Linked DNA regions of Struthio camelus. Each later gene encodes a partner of the first gene's protein in a complex. Links are inferred from orthologs where the notes say so. Each region holds a gene or a part of one and is shown in the gene's direction. Other genes may lie near its edges. The genes, in order: HNRNPU, YBX1 and IGF2BP1.

Region 1 (7,752 bases):
CTATAAGAGAAACGGAGATACTACTGAGAAGTAGGCATGTTCCAAACAATGCCGGAAATCTGAATTTAAGTCCCTTGAATACTGTTAGCTTTACTTGAAATCGGGCACTAAACATCTTTATGAAATAAGGATTTAGTTCCTCTTCAAGTAGGCCTTACTGCAAATGGCCTTCTTACTTGTGAGGTGGATTAGACCTTACTTGATCTTAAAATATCATGGAGAGGTTGTAGATAGGATAAGGCAAGGCCCAGCTATCTTTACAAACTGACTCTGATAGTAAGCAGTAGTGAATGCCATGGGACAAGCTGTTCAGGGCAAGTAGGCAGAGACTTCCTGAGAAAGACACTCCCAGCCTCCTGGCATTTGTATTTCAGATGTGTACATGTAACGCACACGTGCACATGCATGTGTGTATATCTTTGTATTTATTTGTGTGTACATATATGTGTGTGTATAGTGGGGGGGGGGGAAATGAACAATCATCAAAATTGATCCTTCACCATCAAACATTTGTGATAAATTAGCATTTAAAAATGTCTGGATTTTTTTGACCAGCCCTAATAATGATTAATGAGGATTTCATGAGGAGACTTAGAGAAAAAGACTTACTTCACGTGCTCCCTGCTATCATAAAAGGCAGCCGAGTATTTCAAGAATAATACTCTCTTTTTAAAGTAATGGTATGTTGGATGTCAAACTCTGAAGGCAGTGTTAATTGAGGGTGGAGAGACTGAGGATATACAGAAGAGACCAAGGAGTCTATTGCGATGGTCAGAAGGAAAGTAAAGCACGAGAAGAACAGCCAGAAAAGGATAGACAAGGCTGAAAGAGAGCAAACCTAGGAAAAGATAAATGTTTGTGTCCTTCTGCAACGTTGAAGGTGTAAGAAAAGGTTTAAATAGCTATCTCATCTTCAGGGAATCACTGCTATTTGAGTAGTGTGATATAAACATAGATTTGTCTTTGTGCTTGCGGTAAGAGACAATTCCCTGCAACTTAGAGGTAGTCTGAAGATGCCAGGCCAGTCCTTGCAGCAGTTGGCACAACTGATCTCGACATCCCTCTGAGCTCCTCCCAGGAAGGAATGGGCTCTGTGTTGTGCACCTGCAGAATCAGACAAAAGCCCAGGCAGGATGGGCCCCTGGGACCATCTGGTCCCTCTGTGAAAGCCTGCCCTTCTTGTCACCCCTTGGAAAGACATCCACATCTCCTATCCAGGAGAGAAAAGAACCGTTGCAGGAAAGGAGGCAGCGGTTGGGGAAGGGCTGACCATTCTTGGCACGCAGGAGAGGGGCTTGGAAAGACCAGCAGTGACTAATGGGAAGAACATTAGGGGTGAGAGGCGAAGGTTGGCTAGCTAAAATCTGAAAAAGTATAAATAAAAATTAGAGGGACTACAGTAACTGATTAGAAGGGGAGAGCTGCGGATTGAGAGGATCCCAAATTACTTTTTTTAGGGGAGACTGGTTTGGAGTGAAAGATATTTTAACTTTCTGAAGATGTAACAGAGGTATGAGGAAAATACTGTATGATGGATAAATAAGTACAAAGAAAGCAGACGGGACTACGTGTTGTTTATGGGTAGATGCCACTTTCCAATTAAATGGAGGGTTTTTTGTTTTATTTAAGATTTTGGGGATATTTTGAGACCAAAGAAAGGGTAATTTAAGGCAAGACAATTTGTGGTTATCAGCAATGATGCTAGGTATTTATTATGGCTGTCACTATTGCACAAGTGGTAGCTTTGCAAATTAAAGCTGAAGTGCTTAATTTGAACTTTCATGTTTCAGGAGTTCATATGACTAAATGTTTATTTTTATGATGTGGCTGGTATCTGCGTGATCTATGAAAAGCTGAGTTGAAGGAACTGTTATCTGAATTAAGGAAAGGCACAGCAATGGAGAAAGCATATTCCCTTAACTTCTTCCCCTGCCCCCTTAAAGTAGGAATGGGGAAGAGTCACACCGCTGAACTCAGGACTCAGGGAGGACAAGTGAACTCTTTGTTTTCCCCAAACTGGGGCATTTGTGTAAACAACATGTATTTAACATACACAGCAGAAAACTTAAATTGCTTTTACCATGGAAATCAGTCATAAGGTTGCATGCCTGTTTCAGTTATGTGCGTATTGTATGTGCTTAGTTTTCAGAGAAAAGCCATTCTCACCACAATTAAATCACTTGATATTTAAAAATCAGCTGGGATCTCCCCATTTTATAATAACGGGTAGCAGCACTCTGTAGACCGAAGGCATGGCCTTACTACATTTGTGACTATCTGTTTGATAGTGTAACTAATGGTACTATACAACCATGTACTTACTGCTATGGTATGCATTAATCCCCTAAAACAAAAGTTCAGCCTTCTAAATAGTTTAAAGGGGAGAGGAGCCTTTTCAGGTTGGTGTTAAAAAATTTCTGGGGCAAAAAAATAGTGAGCCTCTATTTTAATGCTCAAAACAAATTACAATTCTTATTTTATGTACTCGAGCCTTTATATACAGGCTTGAGTGCTTTGGGGTAAGTAAGTAATCTCTTGATGTGCCTCAAAGTCGTTAGCTGTTTTGTTTCTCCATGGTAACAGCAGTATAAAGCTGTATGAGCATGTTACTGAAGTAGGCAGACATGACATTGTTTAGGAAGGGGATTACATGTGAGGACTGCAGCTCTAAGATGATTCTGAACAAGGGCAGTTTTTAACACAAGTGCTGTAAATGTGTGCAGATGTGCTAATTCAAGGCAACATTCAAGGATCAAAAAAGGCTGAAAGGATCTAAGCCATAAAGTTTGCGCTGGTAGGATTATTGGACTAGGCTGATGAAGTTCTGCAAACATGGCTCCTCATGTGATGAAGACTGTACCAGATCAAGGTTTAAATGTAGGGCTCTGCCTCAGGTTCAGACGCACTACAAATCGAAAAGACTCAGTGTGTGTTTTGTTTAAAAATTTTAAATTTAAAGTTCACAAAAGAGCATAGAGGTGGGAGAAGCAAAAGACATCTACCTTATTGTAGAGTTGTCTGTAAACTCCAGTAAGTAATCTTGTAATATTAACTAGGTAAGCCCTGTTTACACTTTGTTCCCCTCCATGGGAATATATATCACTGTTACCTCAGCAGACTAGTTTAGATAGCTCTTACATGAAGAAATGCACAAAGGTAATTTATACCAGTGCAGCTTGATCATGCATTGACCTCTCCTTAGTACTGATGCACTTTTTTTAAATCTCCTTTTTTCCCCCTATTTAGATGACTGTGACCTCCTCAACTGAGGAAAATCTACTAACTTGCATTTATATAAGGAAAAGGTTGTGATAACCTTTTTCTAAGCTGTACATATTGCATGAGGGAATTCTTGCTGTCTCTGTTCCAACAAGACTTAGTGCAGTGAAGGGTTGAGCTAACCTTGCAGATTGAGTCGTGTTTCCTCTGAGTGGATTCAGCTTGGCTGGAGAGGACAGAGTGCATGCATGTGCTTAAGGGACTGTTTAACTTTCCTTGTATAGTTAAAAACAGTGCGACTTCCTTGTCTCTCCTCCCTTTTCCTGAAGGCAGGTGAACTTAAATAATTTCTTCTGGTTTAGAAGGCCATGTGACCTGCTCCAGTACAAGGCAACTTCATGTCAGTACACCTTCCCTACAATAGGGCTTTTTAACAATCTTTAGTTGTTCAACTTGCCTCTTTTTAAAATTTCTAAAAGCAAGTGAAAATTAACTTTTTACTAGGGCTTCCTAAGGAACCAGACTTGTCTACTAATGCTAACCTCCTGTTCATCTGCGCTGCTCTCTGCTGTTTCTGCTCCAGTAGCTTTGGACCATATTGGAAAAATTCAGTGGGTGCACAGCTTGGTGGCAGAACAGAGAGGAGACCTACATGAATGCTCTGGAGCAGCAAAGCTGGGAGCAACAGCAGTTTGCTTGCAGTTGGTTACCTGGTCAGCTAGCTCTGCACTAAGCTGCAGACGAGCGTTGCTTGTCTGACGGAGAGTTAACGCACTTGAAAACCTTAAGTTAGCCCTGTGGCTTGTGGAGCCACTCGGTCTAGTTACCGGTCAGGCTGGCGCATGCCGTAGCCTGTGAAGAAATTGCTGTTATAGCTCTACTTTTGTCCTTATGTAACTGTGCTAACAGGGTTGTACCAGTGCGACTATTTTGAGAAGGACTGTTTCCACTTTCAGTTGAAACTGAATTTTCAACCCCTTTTCCGCGCGGCGCAGCGCGCCGGCCGGGCCTGCGGAGGGTGCCCGCAGCGGGGGGGAAGGGGCCGCCGGGGGGGGGGGTCTATCTGGGGCCTTGCTCAGGCCTCATCTTGCACCGAGGGAAGAGCGGAGGCCTGGCGGGGTCCCGCTGGGGCCGGTTTCCCGTCCGGAATGGCGTATTTTGCCGAAAGCGAGCGGGCGGCAGCGGGGCGTCTCGCCGGGCTTCCTGCCGCCGCCTGGCCCAACATGGCGCAGGTACAGCTGTCGGCGCGGAGGGGCTTATGCCGGCAGAGGCAACTTTTCCTTTCCCGTAACTCCGCCGCGTAGACGCGACCAGCCCGGGCTGCCAGGGCCCCTCCTGCCGCCCCGAGCTCGGGTCCGGCTCCGGGTGCCGGCGGGGGCGGCCCCAGCGCACGGCGCCCCGCGCGGGAGAGGCGCCGGGGGGCGCGCAGAGGTGCTGCGCTCGGGCCGGTATTTACGGTAGCGGCGGTGCGTGCGGCGGCCGTTACGGTAGCGGGGGGAGGAGGGCCTACGTGCGCGGGGGCGGGGCGGGCAGTGCTGCGTGCTCGGCCCCGCGAGGCGCGTCTCCCTCGCGAGCTCGGTGAAAGGATTTGGCGCCAGGCGGGTCCGCTCTGCAGCTGCCGCAGCCGCACGAACCAGCCGCGCCACCCACCCACCGCCTCCCACCGGGGCCTCGACCCAGAGCCGCCGCCGCCGTCCGCCCGAGCCCAGAGTCGCCTGCGCGCCGCCCAGGGACCGAGCCGCCGCCGCCATGAGCTGCTCGCCCGTGAACGTGAAGAAGCTGAAGGTGTCGGAGCTGAAGGAGGAGCTGAAAAAGCGGCGCCTCTCCGACAAGGGCCTCAAGGCCGAGCTCATGGAGCGGCTCCAGGCCGCGCTAGACCAGGAGGAGGCCGGCGGGGGAGGCCCCGCCAGCAGCGCAGTTGAGCCTGGCAACGGCAGCATGGAGGGGGAGGCAGCCGAGAGCGGCGGGGGCGCCTCGCAGCTCCACCAAGGAGGAGGCCCCGACCAGGCCGCGGCCTCCACCGCGGAGGACGACGACGAGGAAGGGCTGGAGGCCGCCGATGGCGACGCCATGGAGCTGGGCGAGGAGAACGGCGAGCGGGCGGGGGCCGGGGGCGGCCCCATGGAAGAGGAGGCGGGCGGCGAGGAGGAGGAAGAGGAGGAGGAGGAGGATGAGAACGGAGACGACCAGGGTTTCCAAGAGGGGGAGGACGAGCTCGCCGACGAGGAAGAGGCCGCGGCCGGAGACGCCAACGGGCATGGCGAGCAGCAGCCGCAGCCCCAGCAGCAACAGCAGCAGCAGCAACAGCCCCCGCCGCTCCTCCAGCCGCGCGGGGCCGCCAAGGAAGCGCCCGGCAAAAGCACCGGCGGCGCCTCGGGGCCCCCGGCGGCGGCGGCGGCCCCCGCCGGCTCGGCGGGCCCCGCTAAGCAGCAGCAGCAGCAGAAGAAAGCGGAAGGTGGCGGTGGTGGCGGCCGCCCCGGGGCTCAGGCCGCCGGGGGTGAGTTTGCGCGACGCCTTCGGCGGAAAGGGGGGGGGGGGCGGAGGGGGAAAGAAAGGCCGTTAATCCCCCCCCCCCGCGGCGGGGGGGGCGGGCGGGCGGGCAACGGCCAAGAGGGCGGTTTCCGGGGTGCGCGCGGGAGGGCGTTCGCGGCCGGCGCGACGGCGGCGCCTCCCGCGCCGGGGGGGGGGAGGGGGGGCGGTGTCCCCGAGGGGGTTTCCAGTCTTCCCCCCCCCACACACACACACACCGGCGGCGGCGCCGCCCCCCCCCCCCCCCCGCACCGCGTGCTCCTCGCCAGGCGGCTGCGCTGGGCCGCGGGCGGGGGAGAGGGGTTCTCGAGAGGGGGCCGTTGCGCGGGGCGGCTGGAGGAGGAGGAGGGGCCGTTGCGCGAGGGGGGTGGAGTGGAGGCGCGCGGGGGGTGAGGGGAAGGGGCCGCTGCGCCGGCCGCGCGGGGGGAGGGGCGGCCCCTCCGGAGGGGCCGCTGGGGCGCGCTGTATTGTGCAAAGGAGCGCTCGGCGGCGTGACGTCACTTCCGGTCTGGGTGCTCCACGGGATCGCGTTTGGAAGGCCTGGTACAATGGAGGCGGGAGGAGGCGGAATCCCTTCCCTGCAGGCGGCCGGGCGGCCCCGCGCGGGGGCTCCCGCCCGCCGCGCTCGGCCTGCCGGGAGGCGGCGCACTCGTGCGGAGCGCTCGGCGTCCTTGTGAGCGCCCGGGAGTGTCCTGCTCGGCGCGGGTGAGAGCGCGGGCGCCTTCTTGGCCGTTCTTTTTCACCGCGTGAGAGCGGGATGGCTTTTCTCTGGGCGTCTTCTCTTAACATCGAGGACCGTGCCAGATGCGGAGATGCAAGCTTTTTGTCTTGGAGCAACACAAAAAAGTCTGCCAAGATGCTGTTGCTTTTCAGTTCCTGAGGGTTTTCGTTCAGTTTCCAAAGTTGGAAACGTTATGGATGGTTTTATTCCCAGCAGAGTTACATTGCGTTGCTAAAATAAATTGTTAACTCTGTTACAGGAGATGCTAAAACAGAACAAAAACCTGGTGAGAAAAAGAGGGGTGTGAAGAGACCACGTGAAGATCATGGCCGTGGGTATTTTGAATACATTGAAGAAAATAAGTACAGCAGGTAAAGAAACTTTTGATGCTGGACAAGATTTTGCGAATGAGAAGCTGTAGGAAGTATTTCCTATACCCCTACTAAAATGCTTCCAACTTTAATTTTTTATTCTCTTCTTTTTCCTCCTCCCTCGCCAGGGCTAAGTCCCCTCAACCACCTGTTGAAGAAGAAGATGAGCATTTTGATGACACAGTGGTTTGTCTTGATACTTGTGAGTAAACATGCTTTCCTGCGCTCTAGAAGGTGTAGTGGTATGCTTTTAAACTTAAAACTATGCTTTCTGAAATGTAGGGCAGATCCATTGATCGTTATTACTAAGAAACAGCAAGATTAGCCCTTTACTTTTCAGTATAACGAAACAACAAAAGGATGCCTGGGTCTTTATTAGCAATTATAAGCTTGGCTTTCCCAAGAAATAACGTAATATCATATCGTTTTCTGAAGAAATCTTAACCAAAACACTAACCTGGTACATAAACTAAGCTGTGCAAGCGTGCAGTGAACGTAGATCATGCTAGAAACAGCTTGGGAGCTTGAGTCGTGAGAAACTAATTTTATATCACGTGAATGTTTTACTTCGATAAGTTTCAGGAATAAACAGAGGGCTAAGGTAGTACAGTCTGTGGGGTAAGTTTCCTGCATAACTTGCTGAGGCCCTAGTTACATGCAAACTAATGCAGTATATTTTTTGATTTCTAATAAACTTGAGAAGAAATCAGCAGAAAGCTCCTGGAAAATGCTGCATTCATGCAGTCTGCGAGGTTGGGGGGGGTAGATGGTATATGCAAATGGCATGGCAGAGAGAACTGGTCCAAAGGGCATAGAAATTGAGAACTACATACAAACTGTTTTTTGAAGCAGATTATAAATGTTACTATTATTGTGGTACAGCATGATTTGGACTAACTTATCTTTGAGGGT
Region 2 (7,940 bases), on another chromosome or scaffold:
AATAAAGGCTTTCAGATCTGCTGCGCATCAGATACTTGGGAGCTCCTTCTATTTGATGAAGTGACAATAGGGAATATAACCATTCCTCCATTTTCCTGTTGACTTTTGTGGCATCTATATGCTTCTGAAGATGGGAACAACATTAGTAACAGATGCCCTTGCAGATGGGTAGACCTGTGCTGCGGGGTAGAGTCTCCCGTAGGGTGGTCCCCTGGCCCAAACCTGTTGATCATTTCTATTCGGTGGTCCTGTATGTGACCTCTGGCTGATCGCCAACTTGCAACTGAAAAATCTACTTCATTTCTAGGTCTGAGGGCTGGTGCCACCTCGCTTGTTTTCTAGCCAGGTCTTGGGACCTGCCTTTCTGCACCCTGCTGCCTCTCACCTGCTTCAGACAGCTAAATCAGCTACTTGTCAAGCTCCTTTAAAAGCAGCAGGGAGAAACAGGCGCTGTTGGTTATAAGCCCCAAGGTAGATGCAGATGTCAGGAAGACTTCTGGGTACCCTAGGTCACATGGGCAAGTTTGACGTGAGCTACTACATGCAGCAAGTAGTACTCACTTGGAGCGGTACCCAGTGTCGCTGCACAGTCGCGCTGCTTGTAGGATGACTTAGGGACGGCTATCTAGCATTTCAGAGCTGTTTGTTCTGCTTTATTTCAGTGCTCCTTTGCTGGTGGTGAGGCCTGTGCCGGCTCTGAGCAGTTCCAGTCCCCCGCTGCCCCAGTCTTCTCTGCAGGCTAGACCCGCGTTCTTGACGTTCTCCTGAAATTATTTAATAATTGGCATCTATCATGTTTCCTTTTTGTTTTTTATACGTTGAAATGTAAATAAAGCATTTTGGTAAACGTGTGCAGCACAAGTCAGTTAACGTGCTTGGGAATGGACTCTTCTGGCTAGCAGGGCTTATAGCTTCTTTAGCCACGTGCGTTATCTCTGTTCAGTTCAGTAGGGGACGTTTCTCGTGTGTGGCATTGAGGGGCGTTGCTGCTGGGCGTTCACGAAATGGGAAGAAAGGGGTCTGAAGGGGTGAAAGGAGCATGGCAGAGCTGTGCTACACCAGCTCTTTTCCCACCAGGTAAATAAGGCTGCCTGGCAGAGAGGTTCGTGGTATCCCAGCAATCTTAGAGACCTTTTGCATTCAGCCTTCTCGAAGCACGAGAAATAGGTATGGCGCAAAGGCTTCAGCAGCACGAGCTTGCTGGGCTCTGTAGCGGTATAGAAAGCCAGAGGTGAGTTATGTTGTAAACAAGCATTTGTAAAACCTCCCCAGCATATCTCAGTGCTAGGCTGTGGGGATGATATGTTTTAGGGCATGTCTTTTAGCGGGGAGCACAACAGGTCTTTGGGCTGGGATCTGGGGAGTGATTATGCAGCAGGCGGAGAAATCTGGGCTCCTTGTTCCCCTTGGTGGCAGGGCTGCAGGCTGGTGGGAAAACTGCCTTCCTCCTCTCGGAGACCAGGGTTGCAAGCTCATCTCCCTGCTGCGGGATGAGCTTCGAGGTGAGTTTTCTCATCTGGCGGATTAAATATAAAGGAGCTTGGACAAAGTCTCTTTTGTCACGTGCAACGGCTCCAGCCCATCCTGATTTGCCTCGTCACTCCTTGGGCAGCAGTCTGCTTTATGGCCTTTGCCTAAGGTGTATTGTGCGGGAAGGAGCAGTCTGCACACTTGGCTTGTGCGTTGCTTGGGTGTATTAGATAGCAGGCAGTAATGTACCGGAGGACAGATCCTGCAGGCAAGCTTTGGCGTGCTCTTTTTATCTCCTGGCTATTTAAAGTCTTTGGAGCAGGCTCTGGCTGTCAGGATTTCCATGTCCCAATTCCTGGGATTGCTTGGCTGCAGAGGACGTTTGCCCTCCCTCCTCCCCAGCCCGAGTCATCTCACCTTCTCCTTCCTGTGGTACATCAGGGGATGAAGGAAACATAAAGCGTGCCATCCCTTTCCTCCCCAGGCCCAAACAAACGGCTTAGGGCTCTATCCTATGAGTTGAGGGTTTGAAATTCCCCACACGGAGGAGAAGACTGGGCCCAGATAATAGCTATGAGGTAGTGGTGGCTGAAAAGACATAAACTTACCCGTTGTTCCTGCTCAGGGAACGTGTTCAAACACCCCTTCCCCATGGGGTTGAGGCACGAGCTTAGCTCCAGGCTGCTCAGGGAGCTCTTTTCGCCAGCTGCAGTGCGGAGGGTCGCAGTTCTGGCTGTGGATACTCAAATTCACCGTGCTTTTTCACCAGGGAAACCAGCCTATTTCTGGGTCCAGGCTCAGCAGTGCTTTCACAGCCTGATGTATTTATATCGCTGTGATCAGCTAGTCTCACTTCCCGCATAGCGCTGGTCACAGGACTTCCCCAAATTAATATCCAGCAGTGGCAAATCCATCGCAACCTCTTTGGAAGTTGTTCCAGTGGTTAATTATATCCCCTGTTTACAATGCATGTCTGTCTGTGACTCAACGTGTCGAGCTTCAGCTTTCCAGCCTATGGATCTTGCTGTTCCTTATCTGCAGGTTGAAAGCGCTCTCAAATACCGCCGTTTCAGGTTTAATTCCCAGTGACAAAGTTGCCCTTCAGCCATGTCATGCTAAGCAAATCCTGGAATCTCTCGCTGTAGAGCAGATGTTTCCATCTTGTGATCACTCTTCTCTCTCTGAGCTCCAGCATCTTCCTTGAACTGTGGACAGAGCAGTCCACAGAGCAGTCCGGTTCTTTACTCATCTGAGGATCAGATTAACTTCTCGGTCCTGCAGTGTTGCCCCCCCAAAGACTGCCGTGTCCTGGAGTAAAGTCACTAGCCATTGGGAAGGCCACGTTTTCTTCTGTAGGTGCAAGGCCCTTGCATCCTTGCAGGCTTTATCATCGGGATTTGAAAACATCTTCCCAATCTTTGATAAAACTGATAAATAACTAACTAAATAAGAGTCCTTGTAGGGTCTCTTGCCTGGTGGACTCCCATTTGCCATTACGTTTTAAGACATGTTTTTTAATTGAATTACTAAGCATCATCCTGCTTTGATATCTTTCTAGTTTCTTAATCAGGGTCGTGACACTGAGGCAAATGCCCTGCAGAAGTGCTCTTAACGCTCTTCCCTGCCTTGGCAGAGCTGGAGATCTCACGGAGAAGATACCAAGTTGGTCTGATGAGATCTATGTCCGTAAACCCCCATCGGCTGGCGGCAATTATAGTGCTCTCTGCAAATCGTCCGTTAATCAAGGCCTGTATCAGCCGTCCCTTTATTTTGCCTGGGAATTGCCGTCAGACCGGCCTCTAATTACCCAGGTTTGTGGTACGTATGCACTGAGGTGCCCTCCCTGCCTCGCTCACGTTGTCTATGGAAGATTGCCGGCCATGCAGGGCAGCCTGAACCAGCGGGAGCAGTCGCGGGCTCCAGGTCCGCCCGTCGGACGTTTCAGGTCGAGCAGGCTCTTCGCTGAATCCTCGAGAGGCGAAGGCTGTGGGGCTCAGCGAGGGCGAAGCTGCCACGTGGCCAAGCAGAGAATTAATCCTCCCTTCAGGGTAACGTCTCCGCGGGAGATCGGCATCGCTAAGCGCTACCTTACCCGAGCCCCGCAGGCGGCTGTGGCGCAGCGTCGGCGGCCGCGGCCCCCGGCTCGTCCTTTTGGCCCTGGGATGGGGAAAGCCGATGCTGAAGGGTTGGTGCCGGGGGGATGCTCGGCGCACGAGGAGGCTCGTTTTCCCTGCACCTTCCTTTTGGAGAGTCCAACGGGTGCTTTCTGGGATCGCTCTGAGCCGCTGGAAGGCAAAGATTAGGGATGGAGACAAAACATGGTCATTTGAGCAAGGCTCCGTGAAGATAAAACACCCCACGCCGACGCTTTCCGCAGTCCCTGCCCGGCGAGGAGACTTTGGTGGGGGCGAGCTGATGCACGACCAGGTTTGAAGGGTGCGTCGGGCAGCTCCCGCCTTTCGGCGGGCGACGCCGGGCCCGTTTCCCCCCTCCTCGCCGCGGGAGCCGGCGAAGAGCTGCCGACCGCTGCCCGCCGCCTTCCCGCCGCGGGGCTCGAGACCGGGTCCACGGCGTCGCTTCGAACGCCGACCGCGGCGCTTTCGCAGTTCGTTATCCGGCAGCGCGGCGGTCCCTGGGAGCACGCTATTTCTCAGGAGGTTGGATTATAACGCTTTAACTGCATATAATTATATATTGAAAAAAGCTTTGTCGTGTCTCCAGATCCATTATTTTCTACTTTTAATTAACACTCGCAGGCTTGTTTCTTGAGACGACGACGACGATGATTATTTTTTTAATGGGAGCTGCCTGCCTCGGGGGAAAAGCTGGGATTGCATCTCGCTCTTGTAACAGGGCGGCAGGCGGGGGCAGCACGTCCGCTCACTTTGTCCCACATTTTTCAAGCGAGGCGAAATGCCACCGGTGCGTCCTTTGGAGCACGGTCCGGTGACATCCCGGGTCTGGGACCGGGGGCGACGGGCACCGACCGGGACCGGCACCGGGGACAGCGGACGGGGTCCGGGTCCGGGTCCCGGTGCCGGTCCGGGCAGGGGGCGCGGCGGCGGCGGCGGCGGCGGCGGCGGCGGCGGCGGGAGGCGCCCGCGGCCACGTGGTCTCGGGCACTTCCCCGGCCTGGCCGGGGGAGAGGGGCGGGAGCAACGGCGGAGCTGACCAATCCGCTTGCGGGGGCGGGTCCCGCCAGGGGGCTGGCAAGAAAAAGGAGCCTGGCAGCTCCGAGCCAGAGCAGCCAATGGGCTTGCGGCTTTGGTAAAGGGCAGGTGCTTCCCCCAATAGGAGCTTTAGCGCCGGCCGCGGGGTGGAGGGGAGAAGGCCAATGAGCTCGCGCGCTGCCGAACGGGCAGGCCGCTCGGCGAATGGCCGCGCTGGGGGGCGGGGCGTGCGGAGTGGCTAGCCGGTGCGGGCCGCCATTGTGGTCAGTTCGATCGGTATCGGGAGCGGAGAGCGGAGCTCAGCGAGCCCGGAGCAGGGAGCAGCCCCCCCCCCCCCCCAACGGCCGGCCTCAGTCACCATCACACCGCGGGAGGCGGCGCAAACAGCTAGTCACCACCACCGTCCGCACCGAACAGCCGCCGCCATGAGCAGCGAGGCCGAGACCCAGCCGCCCGCCGCCCCCGTCCCCGCGGCGGCCCCCGCCGCCCCCGCCGACTCCAAACCTAACGGCGGCACCGGGAACGGGGCCAGCGGCCTGGCCTCGGCGGCGCCTCCCGCCGGCGGGGACAAGAAGGTCATCGGTGAGGGGAGGGGTCCGCGGCGGCGGTGGGGAGGGAGGGCCTGGGCGGCGCGGCGCGGCCCCCCCCTTCCCCTCCCCCACCTTCTCCCCCCTCAGGGCGGCGCGAGCCCCTGCGCGCGCGCGCGCGGGCGCGGCCGTTGGGCGCCTCGCGCGCGGCCGTTGGGCGCCCCCCCCCCCTCCCCTCCCGCGCGCGCCGCCGGGCCCCGCGTGGCGGCGGCGGCGGCGGGTGGGGGCGGGAGGGGAGGGGCGGAGCGGGCGCGGAGCGACTCAAAATGTCCGCCACGCGGGGCCCTTTGTGTGAGACCCGCCCCGCCACGTGCCGCCGGCAGCGCCGGGCCGGGCCGGGCCTGCCCGCTCCGCTCCTCTCGGTTCGGCTCCAGCGGGCCGAGCGGATGGGGGGGGGGGCGGGAGGGAGGTGATGATGAGGGTAGTGAAGGGCGGGGGGGGGAAACCAAGCGAGGCCGCCGCGCCGGGCCTACCCGCAGCTTACGGCTCTTTCTCTCTGCCTCTTCTCGCAGCAACGAAGGTTTTGGGAACAGTGAAATGGTTCAACGTAAGGAACGGTTACGGCTTCATCAACAGGTGAGGCGGGTTTTGGTGGGGAGGGGGGGTTCTCCTTGAGGCCGCCGGGCTCGGCAGCTTGCTTGGAGTTTTGTTCCCCTCTGAGGGAGTTCTTGCTCTGGGAAACGGCTCTCCTGTCCCCGCTCCCCGCCCCGAGCACGCGCCCAGTTTGTTCTGGCGTTCCTTCCTAGGTGTTTAGCGCGGCGGGGCGGGGGGGGGAACTCTAACAAGAGCTCCCCTTGCCCCCACCAGCACCCCTGAGAAGTCCTAGGAGGGCAGCAGGGTTTCTTGCTGGAGTGTGTGGAGAGAGGGCTTTTTTTTTGTTTTTATTACTAGTGCTATTTTTTTCTTCAATGAGCGTTGCTTTGACTTGCCCTCTGGGCCAAGCAGACGTTGGACCCAAGATCAAGTGTACTTCTGAGTAACACGTGCGTGCTGCGCGTGGTTCATATCTGGTTGTTTTACGCTGGGGCACTAGGCTCGTATAACACCAGGGGCTGCAGATAAACACCTTTATCACTTCTAGTGCCTGCTTGGTGACACTTTCCAGGAGCAACTGATAAGGTGTGTCCTACCTCTGTTGCATGATCATTCACCCTTACTGTGTGTTTGTTTTGTTCTTTTTTTTTTTTTTAAAAGCACTTCAGCGAGGCTCTTACCAAAAGGGATGTAGTGGATTTGTTTTCGTAGTGCTACCTCTTATATTAAGTGTATGTGTGTTTTTTTTTCCTTTTTTCTATTAGAGTATAAAAATCAACTGATGTGCACAAAATATTTCTTTAGCTTCTGTATAGAGTTCAGTAACATCAATGCAAGCAATTGTTTGAGACACTAGGTAGTTGCTCTCTTGAGGGAACTCTGAATGCCTGGGGAAATGTGTAAAACTCATTCCTTATATCATGAAACTAGAGCATGTAAGAAATTCTCAAAAAAAAAAAAAAAGATGCCTAAAAGATTCAGCGATTGACTTGAGAATTTCAGTGCTTAGTTTGAGGTGTTTACCTGAACTCTTAACATAGCAGTGAGCTGTCTAGTGATGACTTGGCAGAGGTGTGCTAGAATTGCTCTACAAATCAGTTCTGGAAAAATGTAATGTTCTTCTACCAGTCTGGAGTGCTTCAGTGCGGTTTATTTTTTGGAGGCCATAATATTAAAAACTATTGTCCTTAAACACCTAATACCACTTCCTTCCTTTGGAGCGAAGCATCTATTAGAAACTTAATTAATGGGGTAAGCCACAAGATACCTGTAGTTCCTCCTATAGGTTGTTTTTGCCTTTCTAAACAGAGGGCTCTCGAATGAGAATAAGCGTTGCATGTAAGCTCTAGCAAGTTAAGACTGAAACAAGTTGAAAGATGTAATTAGAGCTGTGAGCCCTCAAAACAAATGTTTCAGAAATTGGCAAAAGACTTGGAAATCTTTACTCGGGGATGCAAGCAAAGGTATTGGGGATTTTATTGGGTTTTTTATTTAGATTTGCTTTAAGTATTGCCCTTTTAGCTCTCTGTGTTACTTTGTGACCCAGTCTTAAGTATCTACCAAGCTCCTTACTTGGTTTTGTGTCTGTAACTTTAAAAACTTGACTCTGAGTCTGCCCAGTTTAAGTTAAATGCATTCTTCATGTGTAGTTTGAATGTTAAGTATTGAACAGTTGTCAGTATTACGAGCTTTAGCATCTGTGACGTTTGTAACTGGCTATAAAGTCAAAGGGCACAAACTCTACCTCTAGGGAAGACTTTTTTCCTGTTCCACTCAGTGGTGGAAATGCTCAGTTATGTGAGTCAAGCAAGGAAGTAACAGCAGGTAGTTAAGACATCTGAATAGTTTTCCCACTCATATTAATTTGGCAGCTGTTTGATCCCTGAGGTTGCCATTTTAATGAGAAACCCAGCATGATCTCATGTTATCGAGAGATTAGAGCTGCAGTCTGAGAATTGAACTTGAGGACATTTCCACAGCTCAGGAATCTCTCTGGCTTGCTTTAAGGAAGACATTGCAAGAGCTCCTGATCTTGCTTGTCTTTGCCTCAACTGGGTCTGCTTGCAGATAAGTTCAGCTTGGATAGGGGTGCATATTAGCTTCAAATATTTCCTGTTGTCTTTTAATGTTAGAAGCGCGTTTCTATTCTGAAATGTTAGTTTAAATTCTGAGCATCTGT
Region 3 (6,951 bases), on another chromosome or scaffold:
CCAACTTTTAGCAGCACAGCCAAAGGATTCTCCAAGATGCGAGTTGATTTTTTTAAGCCGGGGTTCATCGGAGTATTTGCTTTGTTTGTAACTGAAGCACTAAAATGTTTAGGAAATATCCAAACGTCGAAGAAAGTTGCAGGTTTAACCGTTTGCAACGTCAGCTCTGCTGCTCTTGAGCCTCGCGCCCGGTGCTGGCAGAGGCGCCCCGGCCGGGAGCAGAGGGGCATTTCGCAGCCCGCCCGCAGCGCCTCGCTGGCGCGGCCGCTGCCCCGTCCTCCTCCGCCTCGACCAAGCCGCAGGCAGAAGCAAAAACCGCCCTGCAAGCGCGCAGGGAATCCGGGGATTGTCCCAAATCCAGCGCAATGCTGAATTTTGTTTCGAAGCAAACTGTTAATTTCCCAATCAGTTTGATTCTTAACAAATTTGGCAGCACAGCCTGGAATCGGCGGGACCTTCTCGGACGGGAGCTTCTTTTTTCCAGTGGTGAATGTTTTCCACATAATAAAAAGGGAACAAAAAGGGGTTTAAACTGTGATTCCACTTCACTAAGAGGAAATATTTCCCCACTGCATTGCTCGCTCTTCTTATTCTGTTGAATTCTCACCTGTGTTTTATGCTCAGGCTTGCTCTGAGCTCAGATGATTTCTGCTAGCTGAGAGCTAATTGAAACAGATTCTGCAAACATTAAATTCTTATTTTTTTGCTGTATGACCTATGTATTTTACCGAAAACTTTCAGCACACGTTTATTTGATAGTAATCAACAGATACTTTCAAACTCTTGAAACTGAAGAATTTCCAGAGTTTCTGGGGTTTTTAAATACACCTTTAATTTTCTTAAAATTAAACATAAGTGACAGCACTAGAGATTAAAAAAAAAAACAAATTAAAGAAAGATTCAAATGACAACTGGCAGAAAAATTACAGATTATAATCTGTTCTAGTTTACCACTAATCTGTCATAAAGATTATTTCTGTTTTAGGTATTTTCTGAGTCAGAGCACCAGCAGCACTTGAGCAGACGGCAGGAATTTCGCCCCTTTGTACGAAGCCCACGTTTCATTAAAACCTCAAACGCGCTGCTCGCCCCTCCCGTTCAACTTTGTACTCCAACCAATTTTTCTGAGCACCCACGCGGCAACAATCGCTTTTCTGAGTTGTGGAGAAATTGTCAGTTCTCTGTGAGCGCTTTCCTACCTGCTTCAGGGATTTATATCTAAGGGAAAAAACAACCAACCAACCTTTTGCCAAAATCAGATCTTACGTCTAAAGTCAGGAATAAATTTATGCCGACGCCGGAGCGGGACACCGTTTGTAAGCCCACGCGAAGCGGCCAGCCGCTCGGAGCGATTTCGCCAAGAAATTTAAGGAAATCCTGGGGAAGGGAGAAGGCCACGCAGGCTCCCCGAGCTGACAGCATCCCGGGGGAAACTGCAGCTTAGCAGCGCCCGGGCTGCAGCGCTCCTGACCGGTTGGGGCTCGGCAGCTGCTGCCGAGCCTGACGTCTGCAGGAGCAGCGCGGTCGCCCTTGCGGGGGGCTCGGCGAGCCCCAGCTGCCGGGGGCGGGGGGCCCGGCCGGGCAGCCCCCTCCCACCCTGCCCCAGCCGTGAACGGGGTTGGGGGGGGGCAGCAAATCAATGATGGAGCCTCTGCTGTTTGCATTCCCTAAATACCTTGCATCTGGAACGCTCCACCGAGGGGAAGGAGCTTGACTGATAGTCTTTCTTGTTTCAGACCTAAATTGAAGACTTCCCTCTTTGTTTGGTGCTTTTTTTTTTTTTTAAGGCTGGTTTCCTTGATTTCATTATTGCAAAGGGTTATGTTACACGGGCAAGGTGCTCGGTTAACCAATAAACAGCGGCAACAGCAGTATTAGGGTCAAGATTAGAAACAGAGGCGAGGCAGATAGGGGCTCATTTATTTTGACTTGTTTGCCCGCGACGCGCAGCGCGGTGGAAGCCCGTGAACGTCCCAGGTTTCAGCCCGCGAGGGTGCGAAGCGCGCTGTCTGAGCTGCAGGAGATTTATTTCCAAATTGCATCGCTCTCTCCTTTTCGTCTGTGACTTTTGAGCGTGGGTGACACGCCGGAAGCCTTAGAAACCTGCCCGTGGACACAGAAAGCCTCCTCTGGCTGCGCCGGTTTGGTACTTCTAGGAGAGCCAAATAACGCAGCTGGAAGGATGGAAACCAGACTTGCCCTGGTGAGCAGCATCCACACGCTGCAGGAGCAGCGTAGCAGAGAGCGGTTCAGAGCCGGGAGGGAAAGCGGACTGCTCCGGGCTTTAAATGAGCGTTTGGCAGAGGGGTTTTTTTTTTTTTTGCCGTTCGCGTGAACGAGACGCCCGGGGGGGCTGCAGCGCAGGCGGGCGTCCGGGGCTACGCGCGCCTGCTTCCTCGGACCCGCGCAACTCGCCCATTTCTGAGCGACCTCGGCTTTATTTACTAACAAACCCTCCACGCAGCTGAGCAAGGGGCGGGGGGCGGGGGGGGGGAAGAAAGAAAAAAAAAATCGAAAATAAAAAAAAATATCGGAGACGTAACCGGGCGCCCCGCGGAGGGGGGAAGGGAGCGCGGCAGCGCCGCTGCCCCCCCGCGCCGGGCGCGCCCTCCGCGGGGCTCTCCCGGCGCCGGAACAGCGCGCACGCCTTGCGGGAATTTTAATATATAGATATATATTTTTTTGGGGGGGGGGTGGTGCCCCCCGTCTGGGCCGCCCAGCACGTGGGAGCGAGCTGCCTTGCTGCGCGTTTTCATCGGGAGCGCGGAAAGGCCGGACGGAGCCTCCGCGGCGGCGGCGGGGGGAGCCGGGGCCGCCCCTGCCCGCCGCCGCGCTGCCGAGCCGCCCGCCCCGTCGGGGGGAAGGCAGGAAGGAGGCTGGGGGCGGAGGACGGTAGCGGGGGGGATGGGGAGGGAGGGGGGGGGGCTCGCTGCTATTTTCAACCCATCTCGAGCCTAAAAATAAAAAGTCTCCAGAAAAGGCTAGGCGGGGAGGGAAGGGGGGGGGCTGCCCCGCACACGCCGCTTTGCCGTCGGGGAAAGGCCCTGCCCCAGCGCGGGGCCCTTTTGTGCCGGGAGGAGCCATCCCCCCCCCCCTCCTTCCCCGCAGCCCGGGGGCTTCCGCGGGGCCGCGCACCAAGCGCTTAAAACAATGCCGGGGCCCATCCTCCCGCCGGGGGCGCGCAGCCCCGGGGGGGCGGCCCGCCCCCCCCCCCAGCCCTGGCGCCAGGGGACCCTCGCGGCCCCTTTGATACTGAAGTTGTTTTTTTTTTTTTTTTTTTTACACCCAGAAAAATCCCATTGAGGCACCGGGGGCCGGCGTGGGGGGGGGAGGGGCGCCGGGGGGGAGGGGCGCGGTGGGGGCGGGGGGCTGCAGCAGCAGATGGCAAAAGTGCCTCCGACGGGACGGCGCTGGGGAGGGGTGCGGGGTGGGTGCGCACCCCTCCCCGCAGGGTGGTGGTGGGGGGGGTGGAGGTAAATACCGTAGTATTTAAATTAAAATAAATAAATAAGTGGCGGCGGCTGGGCCCCCTCCCCCCCGGCCCCTCCCCCCGGGGGCCGGGCCCTCCCGCATCACCACGTGGCTTCCTCCAGCAAACATTTTCACTCATTTTCCAGGTCGGTTTTATTTAGAGGCGGTGCCCGGCTGCCGAGAGGCGTCCGGTGACACTCGAGTGCCACTCGGCCGACTTGGGGGCCCCCGGAGCCGGCGCCGCCGCCCGTCGGAGCAGCGCGCCCCGCCGCCGCGCCCCCCACCTCCCCCCGGCTTGCTTTCCTTTCCCCCCCCCCCCCCCCCCGCACCGGGAAATAATCCCCCCTGGATTATTAACCAAAAAAAAAAAAAAAAAAGAGGGAGAGAGGGGGAGGGAAACCCCCCCCCCCCCGCAGCCCCGAAGGCGCCCGGCGGCGGGGCGGCAGCGCGCGGCCGGAGCCCGACGGCGCGGGCGCTCGGTGGAGGCGCCCGGCGAGGCGCGCTGCGAGCCCGGCCGCCCCCCCCCCCCGCCGCCGCCCCCCGCCACCATGAACAAGCTCTACATCGGCAACCTCAACGAGAGCGTCACCGCCGCCGACTTGGAGAAAGTCTTCAACGAGCACAAGATCTCCTTCAGCGGGCAGTTCCTGGTCAAGTCCGGCTATGCCTTTGTGGACTGCCCCGACGAGCAGTGGGCCATGAAAGCCATCGAAACTTTTTCGGGTAAGCGGCCTCGCCCCCCTCCCCTCTCTCCCCTTTCCCCCCCCCCCCACCCGCTTGCTGCCCCCCTTCCCCGACCCCGCATCCTGCCGCCGGGCAGCCCCTTGTTCCCCCTCCCCCCGACGGCGCTTGCATCAGCGCGGGGGCCCCCGCAGGCTGGGGAGGGGGGGGGGCGACCCCCTTTTCTCCACCCAAAAGCAGCTAGCGGAAGGGTGAAACGAGGCGGGGGCCTCTCCCTGCCCACCCCCCCCCCACACACACCCACCCCGGCCGGGCCCCCGTGGGCGCCCCCGGGCCGGGCGCGGCGGCGGCGGCGGCAGCGCGGCGCCCGCCCCGCCGGGGCTCGGCCCGGGGGTCCCGGCGGCAGCGCGGGCGGTGGGCTGGGACTTTGGCCATTTTGATTTGAAACTGCCTTGGCTGGGGCATGTGATGCGCGGAGTAGCGCGAAGGTCGCCATGCTGCTCGCACGGAGAGAAAAAGCTCCCGGGGAAGCAGCTCGGCTCTTTATTATTATTATCATTATTTTTATTTTTTTTGAAATTTCGATTTTTTCTTCCTCCTTTTTTTCTTTCCCCCCCCTCCCCCCGCCCAGCTCTCCCGCCGAGCTCTTCCCATACCCGAGCCCCTCTCCCCAACCCCCCCTCCCTCCCCCGCCCCAAATAAACCAGCCGCAAAGAAACCACCCCGTTTTTCAAAAGCGAGAGATCCGTTTCTGCCGTGAACGACTCGGAGCCTTTGGGTGGGGAGGGGAGAAGGGGAAAGGGGGGGGGGAAGGAAAAAAAACCCCAAACACCCCTAAAACGAGGAATTCCGCGGGAATTCAACACGAGGCTTTGAATAAAGGCGAAGAAATCCCTCTCCGAATATCCCTCTCCGTTTTCTCCCGCGCGGAGCGGAGCGGAGCGGTGGGAAGGGGGCAACGGGGTGTCCAGGCGGCCGCTGGCCGCCCCCTCCCGCCGGGCTCCCGCCCCATACAACGCGCCCGCGGGGCAGCCGGCGGCCGTGTTTGCGTGTAGATCCCCGTAAATTCGGAATGAAAACGAAAGGTTTCACGTGGTAGCATGTTCTCCAGGGCTTTTATTTGTTGCCCCCCCCCATTGTAAAAAAAAAAAAAAAGAAAAGAAAAAAAAACCCAGACACATTTTGTTTTTAGGGAAAGTGGAGCTTCATGGAAAGCAGCTAGAGATTGAACATTCAGTGCCTAAAAAGCAAAGGTAATACAGCGTTTTATTTTCTTTTGTTAATTTTTTTTTCTTTGCTGTTGGGGAGGGGGGAAAGGAGAAAAAAAAAAAAAAGGCCGTAAGATAAAGGAGACAAAAAAAAATATCCCCAAATATGTGCATGTGAAAGGAGATATGTTGGCGATTTGGCTCCCGATCCGTCCTCTGCGAGGTGGGAGTCAGCGTGCAGGATCAATGTTGAAATTTCCTTCCTTTTTTTTCTTTTTTTTTTTTTTTTGAAGTTAACTCTGAGAGCAAGTTTAAACCCTAGCCGAAACAATGACCCCGCCGCTCGCTCGCCCAAGCTCGGGCACGGCCGAGGCGGTTTTGGGGTCTGGGTTTGCAAACTTGTGCAGCCGGGCGCGTTTCCGCAGCTTGCCCCTCTCCTTCGCTGGGAAGCGCCTGCCTTTTGTTTTCCGCTTTAGTTTAAAAAAAAAAAAAATTAAAAAAAAGAAGAAAGGCCAGGGGGAAACGTGCTGGTGGGACTGGCGAGGCCGGGCGAGGCGGGGGGCCCGGGCTGGGCCCAGCTCCGCGCAGCCCCTCGCCTCTGCCCCGGGCTCACGTGCCCGGCCTGGGCCTCCGGCCTCGCCGCGCTCTTGGCCCTTTGTTGTGTGCTTGGGGGGGGGGGCTGCCAGCCGTTTTGGGGCAGGAATGCTGAAAAAGAGAAATAAAGAATAAATCCCCCCTCCTTTTTTTTTATTTGGGGGGGGGAGGGGAGTACCCCCAACCGAACGCCCCGCGCCAGGGAGCAGGCGAGCGGCTGGCCCAGCCGACTCGTCCACGTTGGATGGCGCGGGCCCCGGGACCCCCGGGTCCACGTGACGAGGCGCTTACCTCAGCGGCGGGGCCGGCAGGGAGGAGGCCGAGCCCAGCAAACTCCTTCTCCCTCAACTCTTTGCTGCTTCCCTCCGATTGACCAAAAAAAAAAAAATTTATATATATAAATATATATATATATATATATATATCCCCCGGCGTGATCACGGGGGAGTCCATTTTCCTGGTGCGGGCTGGGCCTTGCCGCGGCTGCCGCCAGGCCTTGGCCTTCACAACTTTGCCCCAAACCCTCCCTCGGAGCTGGGGGTCAGGGAGGGGGAAAGGTTTTGGGAGGGGGGGGGAGGCTAAAAGCCCCTCGGCCTCCAACCCCGGGGTCCGGCTCGTTTAACTCGAAGCCCCAACTCCATCCCGTAATTTTGCCTCTGGAAAGATTTGGGAGCGACGGGACCTGCCTGGCGCCGAGCTGATCGATATTGCTCCTTACGGCGGCCGACACCTCGCCGTGGCTTAAATATCCCGGAGCGGAGCGGTGTTGTGGGAAAGGCGGTGACGGCGCGGAGGGGACGGGGGTGACGCTGGGCCAAGGGGGCCTCACCGTTCCCCCCCTCCCCGTAGCCTGGCTCCATGATCGATAGCTTGGGCCGAAGGGAGCGGATTTCACCGTCTTGCCTGCTCCGCTCTGCCCTGCCCTGACTTTTCTCCCCCTGCGTTATTAGGAAATTATCTCGAAATGTAAATATTTCTTTGGAGGCTGCAGTTCCCC

What was found.
Region 2: HNRNPU (region 1) and YBX1 share a complex: the UniProt entries of both Homo sapiens proteins name them as parts of the coding region determinant (CRD)-mediated complex. The link is inferred for Struthio camelus from reciprocal best matches to the Homo sapiens genes HNRNPU and YBX1.
Region 3: HNRNPU (region 1) and IGF2BP1 share a complex: the UniProt entries of both Homo sapiens proteins name them as parts of the coding region determinant (CRD)-mediated complex. The link is inferred for Struthio camelus from reciprocal best matches to the Homo sapiens genes HNRNPU and IGF2BP1.

Annotation. Positions count from the first base shown.
Region 1 is NC_090944.1:99,222,093-99,229,844, reverse strand, and holds the start of HNRNPU (heterogeneous nuclear ribonucleoprotein U), read left to right. Parts: upstream 1-4,752; 5' UTR 4,753-4,968; coding exon 4,969-5,716; intron 5,717-6,728; coding exon 6,729-6,840; intron 6,841-6,968; coding exon 6,969-7,042; intron 7,043-7,752. UniProt on the Homo sapiens protein: DNA- and RNA-binding protein involved in several cellular processes such as nuclear chromatin organization, telomere-length regulation, transcription, mRNA alternative splicing and stability, Xist-mediated transcriptional silencing and mitotic cell progression.
Region 2 is NC_090962.1:12,631,807-12,639,746, reverse strand, and holds the start of YBX1 (Y-box-binding protein 1), read left to right. Parts: upstream 1-4,864; 5' UTR 4,865-5,065; coding exon 5,066-5,222; intron 5,223-5,739; coding exon 5,740-5,803; intron 5,804-7,940. UniProt on the Homo sapiens protein: DNA- and RNA-binding protein involved in various processes, such as translational repression, RNA stabilization, mRNA splicing, DNA repair and transcription regulation.
Region 3 is NC_090966.1:5,262,839-5,269,789, reverse strand, and holds the start of IGF2BP1 (insulin-like growth factor 2 mRNA-binding protein 1), read left to right. Parts: upstream 1-3,931; 5' UTR 3,932-4,019; coding exon 4,020-4,194; intron 4,195-5,344; coding exon 5,345-5,405; intron 5,406-6,951. UniProt on the Homo sapiens protein: RNA-binding factor that recruits target transcripts to cytoplasmic protein-RNA complexes (mRNPs). This transcript 'caging' into mRNPs allows mRNA transport and transient storage.